2 linked regions of the Drosophila melanogaster genome follow. The protein of the gene in region 1 interacts with the protein of each later gene in a pairwise test. Each region holds a gene or a part of one and is shown in the gene's direction. Other genes may lie near its edges.

What was found. Proteins that work in one complex are often made in the same cells at the same time.
Region 2: the proteins of Liprin-gamma (region 1) and CG7236 interact in a two-hybrid assay, tested with the Drosophila melanogaster proteins (one large-scale study listed by BioGRID).

Annotation. Positions count from the first base shown.
Region 1 is NT_033778.4:22,350,953-22,358,416, reverse strand, and holds the start of Liprin-gamma (Liprin-gamma), read left to right. Parts: upstream 1-3,708; 5' UTR 3,709-4,029; intron 4,030-7,464.
Region 2 is NT_033779.5:5,705,547-5,715,914, forward strand, and holds CG7236 (uncharacterized protein), read left to right. Parts: upstream 1-2,844; 5' UTR 2,845-2,902; coding exon 2,903-3,021; intron 3,022-4,403; exon of another isoform or gene 4,404-4,551; coding exon of another isoform or gene 4,552-4,592; intron 4,593-6,356; exon of another isoform or gene 6,357-6,493; coding exon of another isoform or gene 6,494-6,603; intron 6,604-6,691; coding exon 6,692-6,878; intron 6,879-6,935; coding exon 6,936-7,808; intron 7,809-7,869; coding exon 7,870-8,007; 3' UTR 8,008-8,245; downstream 8,246-10,368. Other genes in the region: CG14007 (uncharacterized protein), read right to left, coding at 9,945-10,368.

The DNA of each region.
Region 1 (7,464 bases):
CAGGTGGCCATCTGAAATTGAAATTGAAACTGGCGCTGATTATCTGGTCGACCGCCGCTGGAACACGTCCGTCTGCCACCCACTTGGCATGAGTTGGGGCAATAAAAACTTATTAAGCGATGCTGAGGACGCGGCACTCGCAACTTGCCATAAAACCCGGACAACATGGGGAAGCCCCAAAAAGCGGGGGCCAAAATAGGGGAAAGGGAATCGTGATGGGAGGGCCAAAAGGATAAATGGAGAAACATTTGGCAGAAATGTGTCGTTGCCTTGGGGCAGGACCGTAATAAAAACGAAGGAATAAAACGAAATAAAAATATAAAAAATGCGCATACGCCGCATTGGCTTCGCCTGCCTTATAATAGACATTAATAATATATCGCCGTTTCCGCTCCAGACTCCTTCTCATCCGATTGCAGTGGCAAGTGCGATAAACCGTTTAGCAACATCCGGAAACGGAGAGAGAGAGAGAGCAGAGATAGAGCGCTATGGTCGAGTGTCGCGACTATTGGATACCCGTTAATCAGATGGAGAGGATAAAGATAAAAAAGAAGAAATGAAATGCCTTATCATTTCCATTAAATTGGTTTTAATAGTCAGATTTTTGCTATGTCATGCTTTTCAACAAATCGATCATACCCTTGTACTCAACGAGTAACGGGTATAAAAGAAGGAAATAGTGTAAAGCACAATCCTAGCGAAATTGCGAAATTGCTGCCCTGACCATCCACTCTCTATCTCTGGACATTTACATACTAATTCGATTCATTACTGTCCAGCCAGGGCTGGAATCTTAATTGAGGTAATCAATGCATCTGTAAGCTGATTTAGGTTGAGTGGTTTCTTTGGACCCCAATCGGCTTAAAATTCAATGCATTTTCAATTTGGCATATTCGCATCTGGCCATCCTTGAACTCTGATCGAATTCAATAACAAGAATTGTATAAGAAGTACACGCAAATATTTTGCAATGAGATATTTGCTCATATGCACACACAATGGCCGTGCAGCAACAAAGGCTTCAAAAAGTATTGGGAAAACTTTGGCGACGACTCCCACCCACAGCAGCCCACTGCCTCCACTTCTCCACTTTCCATCTGCTAACTTTTTGCAGTGCCATCTGCGGAAAAGTTTATTGCGATAAATGAAAATAGGAAGCGCACAACGAACAGTTACAACAAGATGTTGAAATAAGTTGTCAAGCCAACGCATCCGGCTGTTTTATGTATTTTCTACTCCCATTTTTTTCCTGCTTTCTGGGCGTGTATAGTTTTCCACTTGTCTGACTGCGGCGGCTGTCGGCGATAAGCGCAAGGCATTGATAAACATCCCCATTCTACGCGGCACCGCAACTCCATTTCTTTCGCAGCACTCCCGTCTCATGTCCTCCCCCCTTTTAGGTGGGGATGGAGTGGATGTCAGGCAGTGACAATGGCTATGCCGTCCCCACAATTGGTTGGCTTGACAAAACGCTGGCCGGGACTTGTAATACACCTCAAAAAAGTAAGGGTGTCCTGTAGTATGGAACATTATCTTTACACCAACATGTAGATGCATTCAAAATGTCTGGAATTTGCTATGATATGTTGAAAGCCCCCACGCTTAGATCTTGATATCATATTATAACGATGCCAGTAGAAATTTAGTTGCTCCTAATGCAATCTTAGATTCTTCTCTCACTGCATCTGGCTCAATTCTTAAGGTTGAGGTCGTCGTAGTTGATTTTCCGCAGCTCTGCAGGCGGCAGGTTGGAAAAGTGGGCAAGGGGAAATGGAAAAGCGGGTAAATGGAGGGTTGCTGGGGGCGGCGACTGTCAGTGGGACACTTGGCTGTCAATGGCAGTTGAGTTACGACAAAAGGGAAGAATTGCATGGCAGAGACGTTTCCTTCGGCTTCCATGGCTTGTGGAATTTTTCACGCGTCACCTGTGGCAGATAGTGCTGCTCCCGCCGCCTCTTCTCGGCGGGAAGTCTTCTGTCTTGACTTTGTCGAGGGAGTCGGAGTTTTGCCATATATCCTAGGCCTTTTCCGATGGAGGAGCCGAGTTGAATGAACTAGCACCGTAATCGATGCGCCTCCGTGTGTGCGTTTGTTCTGCCGCCATTGTTCGGGATATCAGATACACATATCCTGGCACCGATGGCGGCGTCTGCCAGGAGAGCCACAAAAAAGGCAGCAGGATGGGCTCAGCAGCCGCTTGACATTCATTTGATAACATTTTATTAGCATCAGATGATGGCGGTTATCTCATGGCTGCACTTCACATTTCCGCAGGCAGACAGATGGCAACCACAATGATTGTCAGTCAAAATAAAGACAAACAGTGGCCGTGTCCATGAGTTTGCGGATGCGAAGGGTTCGAAGGGTGGGAGGGGTATGGCAGGAGGATGTATATAGGATATATCGGACCGATTCAGTCAGGTGCAAAGCCCTCTACGTGGCTGCGGCTAGTCACGTCTGCCACTTGTGCTTATGAATGACACTACACTCTCTGGCACGGAGCGGTAAAGGGATTTATCCGGTTCAAGTCCTGTGAGCTCAGGATAATGCACTGCAATGGCTCTCATTCGGATTACTCCACCCTTACGCGTTGATATGGCAATCGATTCCGCTTTGAATTGCATAGTTGCGATGCGGGAAAATAGGTTTGTTTATCAAGCCAATCGAAAGGTAGTAATTGAAAGGATTGCAGAAGAGGCAAAAAAATAACACTTTAATATGAAACTCAGTTATGAATCAATGTTTCCAGTTAAATGTAACTGCAAAGCTGAATCAGAAAGCCACTTTTATCACAGCTGTCAGAATTGTTAAGCCCTTTCAAACTCAATTAAACCATTTAGACTTTAAATGAAAATGCCATTTTCGTTACAATCACATTGAGAGAACAATAATATCAATTTTCATAGATGAGGCGATGCGATTTCTTTGGCTGAAATATTTTGCACGTGTTCATTAAATCTTTTCACAATAATTTGAGCATTTGCTGTCGGGATCATATTATACATGTTCAGCTTTGAGTGCAATACTCACATACTTTCGATTCCTTTGTCAATTTTTGCCGCAAATGATAGTGTACAGTCAGATTGTTTTACAATTAGTAGGAAAGCATGCAGACTGCAGTTGTCGTTGGCAACCTCAAAGTGCGCAACATCCCCACATTTACCCACTTCATCCTCATTTATTGTTTTGAGGCTTTTCATATTTTGAAATAGTAACTCCCCGCCTGTCGCAAACAGTTGCAACCACTGACATTTTTGGTCTTGAGATATTTCATTAGAGTAAAATCGGGCTGTGTGGCCCAACCACACAGTCTGTAAATTGTTTCGTCCAAGTTAAATTGCGGGGAAAATGTATTGTGGCGTCCAAACAAAGTACAATTTATATTGCTGATTAATTGAAAACGGAGGTGGTGTCGTTGCGATTCAGAGCCAGAGCTTGACCTTCGTTTTTGGGAGCGGAGGAGCAACAAGGATTCGAAAGGATTCTTGCGGGACGTTCGGATGGAAAACGTAAACAAACACTTGTCCAAGGCAAGGCTAGGTCGGGTTTTCGAGAGATCCCTGGTGGCTATTTCTCCAGCGATTGCGAGCTTTCGCCAATGCGCATGGGCGCTCTTGTATCCTTTTTCCCATCTCGCTGTGCCTAAGCTTTCGTGACGTCACATGGACGCCGCCAAAACGGCACTCGGGCCAAATGCCAAGGACTCGAGCTCAGTGCCATTCGAGTGATTCGCCCAGTGAGACGTTCCAAGCGCCAGAATTGAATTATTCCCCACATATCCTTCGGTCTCGCTCTCGTTCTCTCTTTCTGTCCTGCTCTCTTCGCGGAGAGTGTGTGCTGGTGTGCGTGTGTGTTTCAATCAAAATCAACAAGAGCATAGCCGAAAAAACTTTCAACCAAAGCGTGTCTAACAAATTAGAAAGCCAGAAAAACCAAATAAAAAAAAAACGAAAATAAAAGAACCAACATTGACTTCAACTGTTGGCCACGTGGTATGTGGCCTTCTTGTTTTTTCAGTCAGAATCCGAGGTAAATTTTTCGAAAACAAACAGACAGACACAGCATCGCCGAAAACAAGAAAAACACTGCGGAGAACAATCGAATTTTTGGGGGGGAAAAACCACCGCCAGTAAAATTCGGTCAATATTTGTGCGAGTGTGCGTGGAGTAGGGAAATTTTTTGGAACTTGTGTGTCACTCTGTTTGTTGTTGTTTCTGTGCGCAAATATAAAGGAAAACCAGCGAACAGCCAAATAGGGAAAAATCTGTGTCAGTCGCGAATTACGCACTATCTCATTTGGGAATTTCGGGCCGCTTGGGTTTTGTGAATGAATAATCAAAGTGTTTGCACGCATTTTTAAACCGATTTGCGCCTGTGCAAATCTTTATTAATTTCCGAGTGGTGTTCTTACTAATGACAACATCAGTAATTGCTGCCAGACACGAAAATCATATTTACCTGCACAGAGAGAAAATGCAGAAACCATTTCGTAAACGAAATAGGCTTACTTCTGACATATATCAAAGGAGCTGTGACTGCACTTTTAGTAATAACTTTAACTTGGTAGTGGTATGTTTGGTGGTTTTGAGTTTTTCAAGAAATCAAAGCCATATGGGTCAAAAGTATGCCACCTGGCTGAATAAATCAAAAGGAACCGGCGGAGAACCGCGGGCGGTAAATGTTGCATATTACGTGAGTTTTTACCACGACCATACGTTACGCATACGCCATGTGGGCCCCCTCCGAAGGCAGCAAAGGCTACCAACAGTGCGTCGCGTAATAAATCGCACGACAATAACTCACGGCACCCAGGAAGGGGGTTGAAATGATGATGGGGATTTGGGACAATAGAAGGGGTAAGCAACCAGAATCGGGTCGGGCTGTGACCAGGAAAGTCGCAAACTGAAAGCTATTAAGCCGAAAGACTTAAAGACTTTTGCTACCCACCTCCGGGGACGGTCTACTCCAGCCCCCTCCCCCGCCACAATTTCCCCTCTCGCTTCAAGCCAAACCACGCACACACACACACACACACACACACACATCCGTTTCCTGTGACAAGGAGCAACAACGAAAACTCACTTAGCCATGCTGCCTCAGCCTCTGTGTTCGCCAGACTCACTTGACATGCTCTTAATACCAAATAAAAAACAAGAGCTCAAGGACGCTGAGAAAACACTCCGTTCCACTTTTGCACTGCGAGTAAGGCCAAAACCCCCAACGCCCCGGCCACGCCGTCATGTGTAAATTTTTAATGTTACCAAGACCCCCAAATGTAGGTTATCAAATTGTGTTCAAGTTGTCTTCGCCAAAAGCGCCGTAGAAAAAGTTTTAGCGCTCGCCGTTTCCCCGGTTGGAAAACATTTTAAATGATTTTGTTGTCGGCGGTTGGTTGTTTTTCGTTGTGTTTCCCTTTAGACGCCCCCTGCCAATTGGGTCAAGCATTTACATTTCACGCCTAGCGAAAAACTCAGTCAGAACTATGCTACTTCGTCACGCCCCCATCCTGCACGCCCCACTCACCACGCCCCACCACCATTCGCCGTGTTGTGCAAGCTCTCCAACGTTCGGTAGTGGTGCATCTATTTAGTCAAATTAAAAACACAAATTCAACTCTGCTCTGCCGGCTGCCACTAATTAATTGCAAACTAAATGAGTTTCTCGGCATAAAACTTTATCCACAGCAAAGCTGATTGCTGTCAGTTTTGCGGCCGAAGGAGGAGCAGCATTCTACTGGCGATGTAGATTGCAGCGAAATCGCTTGGCAAAGAACAGGGGCGGAGATTGGTTTATGTGGCTCCCCTTCTCCCCGAGAAGGAGCCCTGGCTCAAATTGTAATTTGTGCAGCTCCCACACATTCCATTCTCGCTCCATTGAAGTTTTCTGGCTGAGAAAGGGGGGCGAAACCATCGAGTCATACAGGAAATTAGGGCTAAAAGCAAGTGTAAAACGGTCAGCGCAGTGAAAACTTTCTAGCCCGAAAAGGGAAAAATATTGGAAAAAATTCTAACTTTCGAGTCGAAAGTTCACAAATATGTGAATGGAAATACTCAGCATTCTATTTAAACTGCATACGTTTAGACACCTATTTAAGTAACTTTATACGTTCATTTTTAATTCAACTAAAATTGCGTTTGAAGGGTTTTTAAAGGAGGTCAATGCAATTTCGCTCTCTGACATTCCCCTCAAGTGAATGGCTGGGTTTAGTCATCATGTTATGAGTCACACAGCAGGATATGTACGGTCAATGAAGTTAGCCTTTCGGAAATAAAGTGTTCGCTTGCAGGTAATCGAATTGAATGCTGGCTAGCAGACGGCATCCAGGCTCAGCCAGCTGAGCCAGCTCAGCGAGTCGAGTTGAGATGGGCAGGACCTTAATGATGGATGTCAGGACGGACAGGATGACCAGTCACTCACTCATTTGGCATTGAGGGCACTGAGCCATTAAATTCCCACTTGGCGTGTGCGGCGGATTGGATTTCGATGGCTGCTCGCGGCGTGAATCTGTTAATTCAACTTATTAATTTTCATTGAATTTCTCCGTTCGCCACTGTCACAGTCACTGTCACTGCCAATGTCAATTGTCACCGAGTTGTGGCGCCCTAGGGCGGGCATTGACATTATGGCACTTTGGGGTGTGCTCGTTGGTCTGTGGTTTGTGCAATCAAGTCGGTTCGAATGGTTTTGCTCAGCACAAAATACTGCATTAATTTGCATGCATTCTGTAGGCCGACATTCAATCGATATGCCAAAACTTATTGGCCATTTGTTCGGCCAATTCATTTAAATCTTTTCCATCTCAAGCCTTTGATTTATTTAGAGCCTGAGCTCCGGCTCATGGAATGATAAATTAATAAATGTGTGCATTGAATCAAAGGCAACGGCAATAAATTTCAAATATTTTACCTCCCATTTTAAGAACGAAAGCCACAGACGCACACACATGGATACTTGGAATCGCCCTTTCAAATGAGCCTGCCTCCGAGTGCTGTCACACTGGAAGAAGTGAAGAATTTAATAGCCAAGCTGCCACTTAAGAAAGCTCCTGGAGAAGATCTTCTTGATAATAGAACCATTAGACTTCTCCCAGATCAAGCATTGCAGTTCCTTGTCTTAATATTCAACAGCGTTCTTGATGTTGGCTACTTTCCGAAAGCTTGGAAATCGGCGAGCATAATTATGATCCATAAGACTGGAAAAACACCGACAGACGTTGACTCGTACAGGCCCATCAGCTTACTCCCATCTCTGGGTAAAATTATGGAGAGGCTGATCCTAAACAGGCTGCTCACATGCAAGGATGTTACCAAAGCGATTCCCAAATTTCAGTTTGGCTTCCGGTTGCAGCACGGTACTCCTGAGCAACTACATAGAGTAGTGAACTTTGCTCTGGAAGCTATGGAAAACAAGGAGTATGCAGTAGGTGCCTTTCTTGATATTCAACAGGCATTTGACAGAGTCTGG
Region 2 (10,368 bases), on another chromosome or scaffold:
ATGTGTGAGCACACGTGTGCAAATGCAACGGTACATTTCTGTGTGTTAGTTCTCTGGCATATGCTGGCCGGCATTTGTTATTTGTTTGTGTGTATGGCCGCTCCTTCGTTATGTGTGTGTATTGGTTGGCGGTGAAGTTTAACGGTTTCCCTTTTGCCGTTACTGTGGCAACCGGAAAATGCTCGAGGCGTTGCCAGCCTTAAAAGTGGCTAGTTAAAAGCTTTCGCGACTCTGAAAGATGTGCTGCCTATTCTAGATTTCTAGAAAGCTTTCGTCAAGCCGATTAAAAATATCCTTTAAAAATAAATTATTCACAAATAATTGTCTAATGACTGTAGGTTTTCTTATTTTTTCATATCTTTTAAAATATCATATTTAATAAACAAATTTAGCAACAAGTACACCTTCTGTTACTTTTAAAAGTTTTAAAAGAGCCATAGAGTTTTCTGTTCACTAAAAATAGGTAAATGCCTACTTTTTGATATTATAACTTATTTGTAGTAAGTCAATCGAAGGTCACTCCCTGGTCACGCAAACCTATTCAATCAACGATCGGTGATTAAATGCTTTGAACATTATGTAGATATAAATACCTAGAATAGCAACAGAAACTGCTATCTAATCTTTTCGTAATTGCTTCAAAAGCGATGTCCATTCAAATCCATAACTACTCACACACACCAAGCTAAAATTCCGCTCGGAAAAGCTGAACTAGAAATATTTGAAATCAAAGCGTGAACTAAGCTCAAATTTGCTGTTTGTTTTTAGTGACAACAGATTGACAATGCAAACATAAACAACGGCATGCGCTATAACAACACTATTAATAACCAAATACAAGGCGAGCAACCCTGATTCGGATCCCCATCCCGTTGCCCACCGGGCTTTCTTGCCCCAAAGCGTTGCCAATGTCAACCGTCACGAACACCCCAACAAGCCCACCCCCTGGAAACTCCATTCCATTGTCTTCGGCGTTTTCAATGCCGGCGCACATAAAAATTCCGGCTACGTTTACGGCGTGGACTACGCTTATAAACAAAGTTTGTTAATATTTCTTCGCCAACGGACGCGAAACTCGCCTCGCATCTCGCGCGTGAAAATCCATTTAGTTAAATGCTCGCAGGATGCGGAAATCACTTTCGAGATTCCAGAAATAGTACGGCATTTTAAAATCAATTTTCCAAACAGTTATTAAATGCTTGTCTATGGACAAATGGTTCGGAGAGAAACGTCTCTGGCTGTTTGGTAACCACCTTCCACTTTTGCCCAGAAGGTAAGTCGAACTTGGCATTGCATTGCATTGAATGGTAACAAAAAGTGCTATCCAAACATTTTTTCATTGTTTTGGCCTAAACTTGAACTTCAAGATTGGCGCGCAGATAGAGTGTTGCCCCTGATATTGTTTTGCTTAACGTCGGGCCTTGTGAATAACCAACCCTACAGTAAATAGTAATCATCGTATGAAAACATTGTGTGTCTCTAACTAACATTTAGATACCTTCTTTGAACGCCTTTGAAACTGACAGTTAAAAGCTACTCAACTTACACAAGATCTAACCAAGAAGCCACAGGACCAAAAAGGACAAAAACTCCAATCAAATTGAATTTCAATCAATGCGAGTATATGTGCACGGAAAAAAAGATGCAGAAGAACAAAAGCGAAAAGAGATGAAATCAAGTACAGAGACATCAAATTGCATTGAAATGCGTTCGGAGCTTGGATTTGTCTCCAACATCAACCCACTTACCATCCGAATTCTGACAGGCCAGACAAGCAGCTCTGAAGGAATATTGCATACTTATGGGAACGGATGATGTAGCGGTTTTTAATGCTTTTGATCCAAGCAGACGAAAACCCTATTTTCGGCAAATGTCAACGACACTTGCGTTTTGCTCGAAAGGAACAGAGGGAAATGTTTTTTTGCTGGAATACATATCTGACTGAAATAGAATAAGATATTGCCCATCAGACTGTAAGCAAATGATTGATACATAACACTTGTACTCGCACACTTGTTCATGAGAAGGTTTTTACAAGTCACATACTTTTCTTTGGTAATTATTGATAAGTTGTTTCAGGAGATGGATAGTTATATAATACAAGACAAGTTCATGATCATGACCCAGGACCCAAGGAGCGCAATTCATGCTGTTCTGGTAGCAATAACAATTTGATGTGTTTCATACATTTCCTAAGTTTATTTATGTGAAATTAGTAAGGGTTTTTTAAACTTTAATCAAGTTTATTCACATTGAATTGCCATGATCCCAAGATCTAAACGTTCATTGTGCTCAAAAAATGTTATAATGGGACTGCTTTGCTTATATCAGCACTTTTGGTGAATGGACTTTTCAACAGCCGCGAATTAGAATCGCGTTTTCGGTTTGCCAGCAGGATACTTACATTTGTTTGGCGCTTTCATGGCATTTGACAGTCGCTCTCATTCCCACAGTGGATGCCAAAACTCACAGGTGCCCGCCTCACCTTACATAATTGAATCCCCGCAAGCCGTTTTTTTCCCTCCAGCTTGCACCACTGATTTCGTGTGCCTCGCTGTGGCATGTGGCAAACTCTGCCTCATTCGCCTGCCGTCGCAACTCTCACTTCTCGCATTATGCGCCTGACTCATTTGCATGTTCCTTTGGCTTCCCCCGGCCGCATTTTTTCTGACCCAAAAAAATCTTAAACAATATGGAAAAGCATTGCCGGCACGAGACACGTCAGAAACAGAGCCGGTTTTTTGCACCTGTTTGAGAAGGAATGTCGCTCCATGCATAAAGTATTCATGATGTCCGTTGCATTTGAAATCATGTATCGATAAAATAAATAGACGAGAGACCGTCGAAGTGCAACTTAGTTATCCTGAGACCCTGCAGCCGTACGAACGCCTGGCGACGTGCAATGTTTCACAGCTCATCGTTCTACTTGCCGCAATCGTTACAGAACTCCTTCCTCTACCGCCTCATTCAGAAGATCCAGGTGTGCAATGAGCCGGACTTAGTTGAGACCAGGCAGTACAGGTGGGTCGATTAGCGCCGTTCGTGGCCCTAATTAGCTTTACCAACTTTTTGCGGAATGAAAGTGAAATGCAGTGCTAAAACGGGCAGAAAGGATAAACTTTTCCCAATGACATTTGAGTCGCTGCTGGTGGAGGTGGTGTTGCAACGGCCTTGGCCTTTCATTTCACACGCATATGCCTGCTTCGTCCTCCAAGCGCTTCAGCTCTGCTATCCCCGTAAGTAGGCAACGCTTTTTGCACAGACCTCGCACAAAGTTTGGGACACTCGGTGCGTGTGTGAGCATTTGGCATTAATGGCTTGTTATTTATTGCATTTTACGCTTGTTTTCCCAAAGGCCACGTCAACACAACCCTTACCAACAACCCGCAATATTTATATGGCCAAAAGGTTCAGGGACTTTACAAGGCGATGTTAGAGGTTTTGCTAAAAAACTTTACTTACTTGACATATTATTGCTATTTTAGCAAGTACAGACACTTGAAATAAACCCACAAGGCAGTACGAATATTAAACATCTAAAAATGTGTGGTTTCTCTAAAAATAAAGACCATTCAGTCTGACTTCAGTAAGCTAAACTCGTATAAGTAAATTTCAATTTTAAGTATCTATTTTAAAGGCCAGCTAAATGTTCCTTTTTCTTAAATAGAAGTGCTTTAATTCTCCTCTCATTCTTATATAATACCCATTACTAAATAAACTTTAGCGCTGCTATATCACACAAATACCGGGGGTCAGTATCAGAATGGTAAATAAACGAAGAGCCATTAAGCTGGGAAGCATTGACCCCAACATTGAGTGCAAACATCATGACAACGACATGAACAAATAATTGCTATGCGCAAACAACTACATAGAACAATAAATACAAAAATATAATTAAAAGCCACAAGAGCCTAGAATAAAGGTAAAATCAAAGTGGGAAAGGTTAAAGTGCTTTCGCGGAAAACAAAAGCTGTCAAATGTATAAGGCAAGCAGATGGTGTTTAAGTTGGAACGGGGTCGACGGGAGTTCTCAGTAATTATGCAAATCAGAAATCAGTGGGGTGCTGTCACTATACTTTCATACACTTCTTAAAGGTAAATTTCAAGGAAATTAGTTACCTAATACACCACACCGGTCAAAGAATTCGTTTTATATACATATACCTTACATATTGCTTATACAGTATGCGTGATTATGGTTCCTAATTTATGTTCGACGCTCACCTTCGTGTTTTTCCACTGCACTTAAATGCATTATTAATGAAACACGCAAGACCAAAACAAACAAAAACATAGGAATCAAAGTCGCCATTGGCCAACGCGGCGTATGTGCGATGTCCGCTGATGCAACCGAGCTGCTACCAACTCCGTCGCTCTCCAAACTCGTTTCTAGCCAAAAGCACCTCAGTCGATTGCCGGCTCTTAACGTCTTCACATCGTGTAGTTCTGCCAAAAAGTTATAGGGCTCTTTGTTTGGCCCAAGTGAAGGAAACACGGAAACAAACCAAATATAGACAAAAGGTGAACTGGAAAAAATTCGATACTGCAATGAAAATGTTTGAGATTTCTAAATTGTTTTCCCTACGAAGGTATGAGCAAAAAAAAAAAAATAAACAAAATTAAAAAAAAAAATTAACATTTATTATTAACATCATAACTTATCTTATTTGCCTGTGAACTGTGAAAGTTTTAAAGTTTGGACAGCTTCGAAAAGCAAACACAATAAGTGACCCCTGGCAAGCAAATTAGCTGCACAGCAATACTTAAGTTATTCAGCCAGGAAAAGCCATCCCTAATACTGTTATAATTGCACAGCGATTCAAACATTAATTAGTAATAAGGACCCCAAATAGAATCCACCCCCGAAGCGCCCACGTAGCGCGTAGTTACGACAAACTTATTGCACTGCTGCACCAGTTTAGCTATATGGAATCCTCCAGCAATCTGTGTCAAAGAACCCGGTTCATAAGCGACTCCCCTGCCTTCTCCTTAGACAGACGACTCCAGCAGGTAACCTCAAAATGTGTAGTGGGAAAGGAGCTGGGAAAGCTGGGAAAGAAGCACACCTTGAATGTCTTCCGGTAGTCGCTAGAAAAAACAACAAAGGGGAGAAACTTCTTGAACAACTTTGGGGGCAACTGCGCATGGATTTGGTTTTGTTGTGGTTTTTTGCTTTGTTAACTTTGGTCGCATTGCTATGACATTGGCCAGTGGGGTGGAGTCGACCTGGTCGACATGGGGCACAGGTCGGCTCTAGCGTTTCCCCCATTCGGTGCTCAGTTGTCAGACAAAACATACGTCCGCTCAAGCGGTCTACCCATTCAAATATTTATTGATCGACAGGCTTGGCGGAATATTCGGCGCATGGTGTGTATCGTAGACTTCCCCCAAAAGACTTTAATCAAATACATATATATATATATATATATGTCCTATTCATTCACAATTCAATTACTAACTCTAGTGGCAAATACGTCAGATATTAGCCAGATGGGTGCCTAGGTAAGTCATCTGCTTGCTACGTTTTCGGTGTCCTGTGTTGCTTTCATTTATTTGTGCCACCAACCAGCACCACCATCATAAGCACACAAATATTTAATTGCATGCCATGTTTATGACCCACACACATGTTAGCAAAAGATGCAGAAAGGCCCAAGCAGGGTTCAGTTACCCCGTTTAAGGTTTTGTGGCTGGCATTGAACTGTCAACCCGTGAAGTCCTCGACCAGACCGGTAATGCCAATTTCAAAGGAGCACGCTCTCGAACACCTGGGGCTACAAAATCGATTTAGTTTTCGTGTTCACGCTAGAAAGTTAATTACCCTCGGTTTCTAATCTAATACTAATGGTACAATTCTGAATGAACAGAATAAGTTATTTTAATCTTATTTTCACTTAAACTGTGTAAAAATGTTAGAATTCATTAGTCCATACACTCAAATCAATGACAATTCCACATAGGGTTATGTTTACTTGGGTCAAAAAAATCGATTTAGTTCTCGTGCTTATAAATGGCAGAGTAGTAATGATTAGGTTGTGTATCTAATGGCAATTGAATGTTTACAATATCGATTTATTTGATTAGCTATAATAGCTGCATTTAGATTGGAAAAAGTTAGCAGGAAGAAGTTTATATTGATGTACTTCGGCACATTTTAATTTATTATTATTACATTTTATTTAACAGTTCCTTTGGCCCACCAAAATTAACGTTTAAACCAAATAACTCATTCTAAAAGTTCTCTCATTTGTTGTTTGTTTCATTCCATCGAAATCGACTAACCAAATCATACCGAATTCGTGAAACCAAACCTCCAAAATGTTCTGGACATCCCCAAAAAAAAACCAAACCTATTCAATATAATAACTTGTACATATATGCATACACATCAAATCGTAAGACAGCCCTTGAAATAATACCAGATCGAATATCAAATCACTTCATACTCGCTCGCATATCCTAGAATGCAAGTTCGCCCCTGTGAGTCCACATGTGTTCGTGTCTGAGGTATCAAACAGAAAAATTCTTGAACATTTTGTGTGCCCAATGCAAAGCAATGCGACGTGCAAACATCAAACGTGGTCAATGTTTGAGCTTAAGGTAAAATCCACTCCAAACTCAAACTGAACGTTAGCCGCAATCGGGGTGGGAATTCCGGAATAACTCATACCTGTTAACTTCCTTGCAGACCACAAGGTAGCAGCAAAATGGATCGCTATGAGAAGCTCAGTCGGCTGGGCGAGGGCTCCTACGGTGTGGTCTACAAGTGCCGGGATCGGGAAACGGGTGCTCTGGTGGCGGTCAAGAGGTTTGTGGAGTCCGAGGATGATCCAGCGATTCGTAAAATTGCACTGCGAGAAATTAGGCTACTGAAGGTAAGCCTTAATAACTTAAATCACTTGAATCACTTAATCACTCGAAATTTCCTGCAGAACCTGAAGCATCCGAACCTTGTCTCCCTGCTAGAAGTGTTCCGACGGAAGCGACGCCTCCATCTGGTCTTCGAGTTCTGCGAGCTGACCGTGCTGCACGAACTGGAGCGGCATCCACAGGGCTGCCCGGAGCACCTGACCAAACAGATCTGCTACCAGACCCTGCTGGGCGTGGCCTACTGCCACAAGCAGGGCTGCCTACACCGCGACATCAAGCCGGAGAACATTCTGCTGACGGCCCAGGGTCAGGTGAAGCTGTGTGACTTCGGCTTCGCCCGGATGCTCAGTCCGGGCGAGAATTACACGGACTACGTGGCCACCAGATGGTACCGGGCGCCGGAGCTGCTGGTGGGCGACACTCAGTACGGCACTCCGGTGGACGTCTGGGCCATCGGTTGCCTCTTCGCCGAGCTGGTCCGGGGCGAGGCCCTCTGGCCAGGACGTAGCGATGTGGATCAGCTCTATCTGATCCGCAAGACGCTCGGCGACCTGCTGCCGCGCCACATCCAGATCTTTGGACAGAACGAGTACTTTAAGGGCATCACGCTGCCAGTGCCGCCGACGCTGGAGCCGCTGGAGGACAAGATGCCGGCCAAGTCGCAGCAGAATCCCCTGACCATTGACTTTCTCAAGAAGTGCCTGGACAAGGATCCGACCAAGCGCTGGTCCTGCGAGAAGCTCACAAAGCACTCCTACTTCGATGACTACATCGCTAAGCAGCGCGAACTGGAGCACGTCAACAGCCTGGAGGCGGCCAATCTCCGCCAGCAGCAGCTCGCCTCCCAGCAGTTCATGCTGGCCACGGCGGCCCAGCAGCTCCAGACGGGTCCTGCTCAGGCGGCGGCCATCGCGGCGGCCCGGGATAAATCAAAGGTGCGTACGGCAGTCCTCTCAGAGGATAATTCAATCTATTAGTATATCCTTTCGATTACAGACTTCAAACACATCACTACCGCTGCTGCCTAGCACGCAGCATCATCATCACCCGCATCAAGATTACGTGAAGCTGCAGCCCCTGAACAAGAATGCAAACCTGCTACATCGCACCGAGCATCATCTGCCCACAATTTGAGTTTGAGCAGAGAATTTGTAACGAAGTAATGTCCTTGAGCGAGAATTGAGCCCGAAATTTAACTTATTTACTGCTGGGAATAAATGTGTAAAAGTAATCCATTAATATATCACTGGGTGGAACGTTCGTAAACACTTGGCAACTCATCCCTTCGGGCCGAACTGAATTAGTAACTAAGTCTAAAGTGCAATTTTCAGCTGTCATCAAATAAAATGTGCTACATAATGTTTTATTCCATAAATTTTCAATTCCGTTAGTCCATGAGATTCGCAAATCACTCCAGGTTAATCTTTAATTCACTTTCCAGTTGCGTCCTGGCTCGAATCCTTTTCAGCCTTGCACACACACGTACATCGAATTAAAAATCCTTGCAGCATGTCGACTAGTCAAACGGTTACATTCCACCTCCAACTCTCACCTACTTGTTGAGCCTGGTCTGGATTACACATTTTTACATCTATTTAACCAGGAGCGGATTGGGAACAGCGGAGCCCTTTTAATAGAACATTTATAATTATATAATGTTATAAGTTCGTTTACTTTATATTTGATTCAATAAGGTCTGTTTTGCAGTCCTTTGATATATATACATGAACTGCTTGATACCCTCTTTTGAGGCTCCGCTCCTGAAGTATTTCATCGTCGACAGATATCGCCTCCTGGCGTCCATACCACGTTTTTTGGCAGCTTAATCCAGTGCTAAGCACACGGCAGATAATCAGCGACACGTATCGGCTTTCGTGTATCCTAGTCGTGTCCCAAGGACTTTGTTGATGTCCTTCAAGAAGCGTCAGAGAAACGTGTGCCCCAAAGGATGGTGATGAAAGGATTAGTGAAGCTTATAGCGCGCTGAGACTATTCTAAGGCGAAGCAAGGGCAGCAAAGAAAAAATAATACTAATGTTTGCAACAATATCATGAGTTGAAGCATCGAATTTCAGGCACTATTAGCTTATATCAGCTAATATTTGGAATTGCCCAGTTTTCAGTATTTTTCAGCAGAATGCAATATTTTCCCAAAAACTTTTAATTAAATTATAGAAAAGTTGTGAGAACAGAAGCTGCATTCCCACAGGCTTCAATGGCAGCAGTCAACAAAAGTGTCAACACATATCGCTGAAATCTCCTGGGCACCAGTCATGTCCATGTGGCCCGGATTTTTGTTGGCAGATGCTCAGCAGAGAAACGTTGAGAAAATAGAGGAGAAATTGAGAATATCATTGGATGCCAGCCGGGCATTCCTAGCATTATCCACTGCGACTCATGCTCCATTGCCAGCGTCACCAATTGTTAAGTATTTTGATTTTTGTCGTTTGGCCAACACAATAGAATGGTCCACCGAATATCTTCATCCCTGTCTGCAGCTTGCCTGCTCTTTCGGGCTTCTGCATCCTCCCCTTTTTTTTCCGGTCGCTGTGCACTTGGTTGGGAATGTAAAATGGGAAAAGCATTTGTAAGTCGAACCGGCCATTGAAGCATCCCGCTTCCTGGTCGAGGATATGCAAAGTGTCTCCCAGACAGAGTTGCATAATCTGTAGTGTCGTTTATGCAAAGTGCCCGCCAAAAGCCCAGGCAACAAAATCCAGGGAGATGGAAACTTTCATCTTGCTGGGTAGTCAAGGATATTGTTGGGATGGAGCTTGCTGAATTGCATAGCTCGGTAAAGTGTTGAGCAGGGGAATCGAAGACTTATCGAATAAGCAGATAGGGCTTTTTATATTCACGCTGTTTGCTTTGGGAATACAAGTTTCAAAATTGTGGTAAAAAAAATGTTCACAGAAGTTACAAAATTGTTTAACGTTTGTGATCGGATCTTATGTCTTACTAAGTTACTAAATAAATTTGAAAGTTTTCAAGTTTGATAAGACAGCTAAAAAGAGTTACAATTCGTTAGTTTTTATAGATTAACTAACACTTAACCATTCCTGTGATCAGTGATCAGTACCATCGATGCAACTGGTTCTCCGCGTAGCGTCGATTCAGCTCACTCTTGCGCTGAACATCGCCGCCCACACCGTTGAGTAGCTCGTTGGTGTGCCAGTTGCGGTAGACGGACGGATCCGGCTGGTGGTCATCACCGGTGCTCAGTGCCTGCAGCTGCCACCACTTCAGCGGTGGCTGCGGATAAGCTGCCTGCACCGGCAGGACGGACACCACCGGCGGCTGACGACGTGGCCACAGGCCCAGCTTGCTCAGTCGCTTCTCCTCGTCGATGTTTGTGTCGTGCATGTCGTGCATTCGCAGGACGTGGAGCGGCTTCTCGGAATCCTTCGATCGATTGCTTCTCATGGCCAGCGGATGGAAGGGATCGTCTCCGTAGAGCTCGCAGTAACGGGCACTCTTCACCAGCCCGATGATCTGG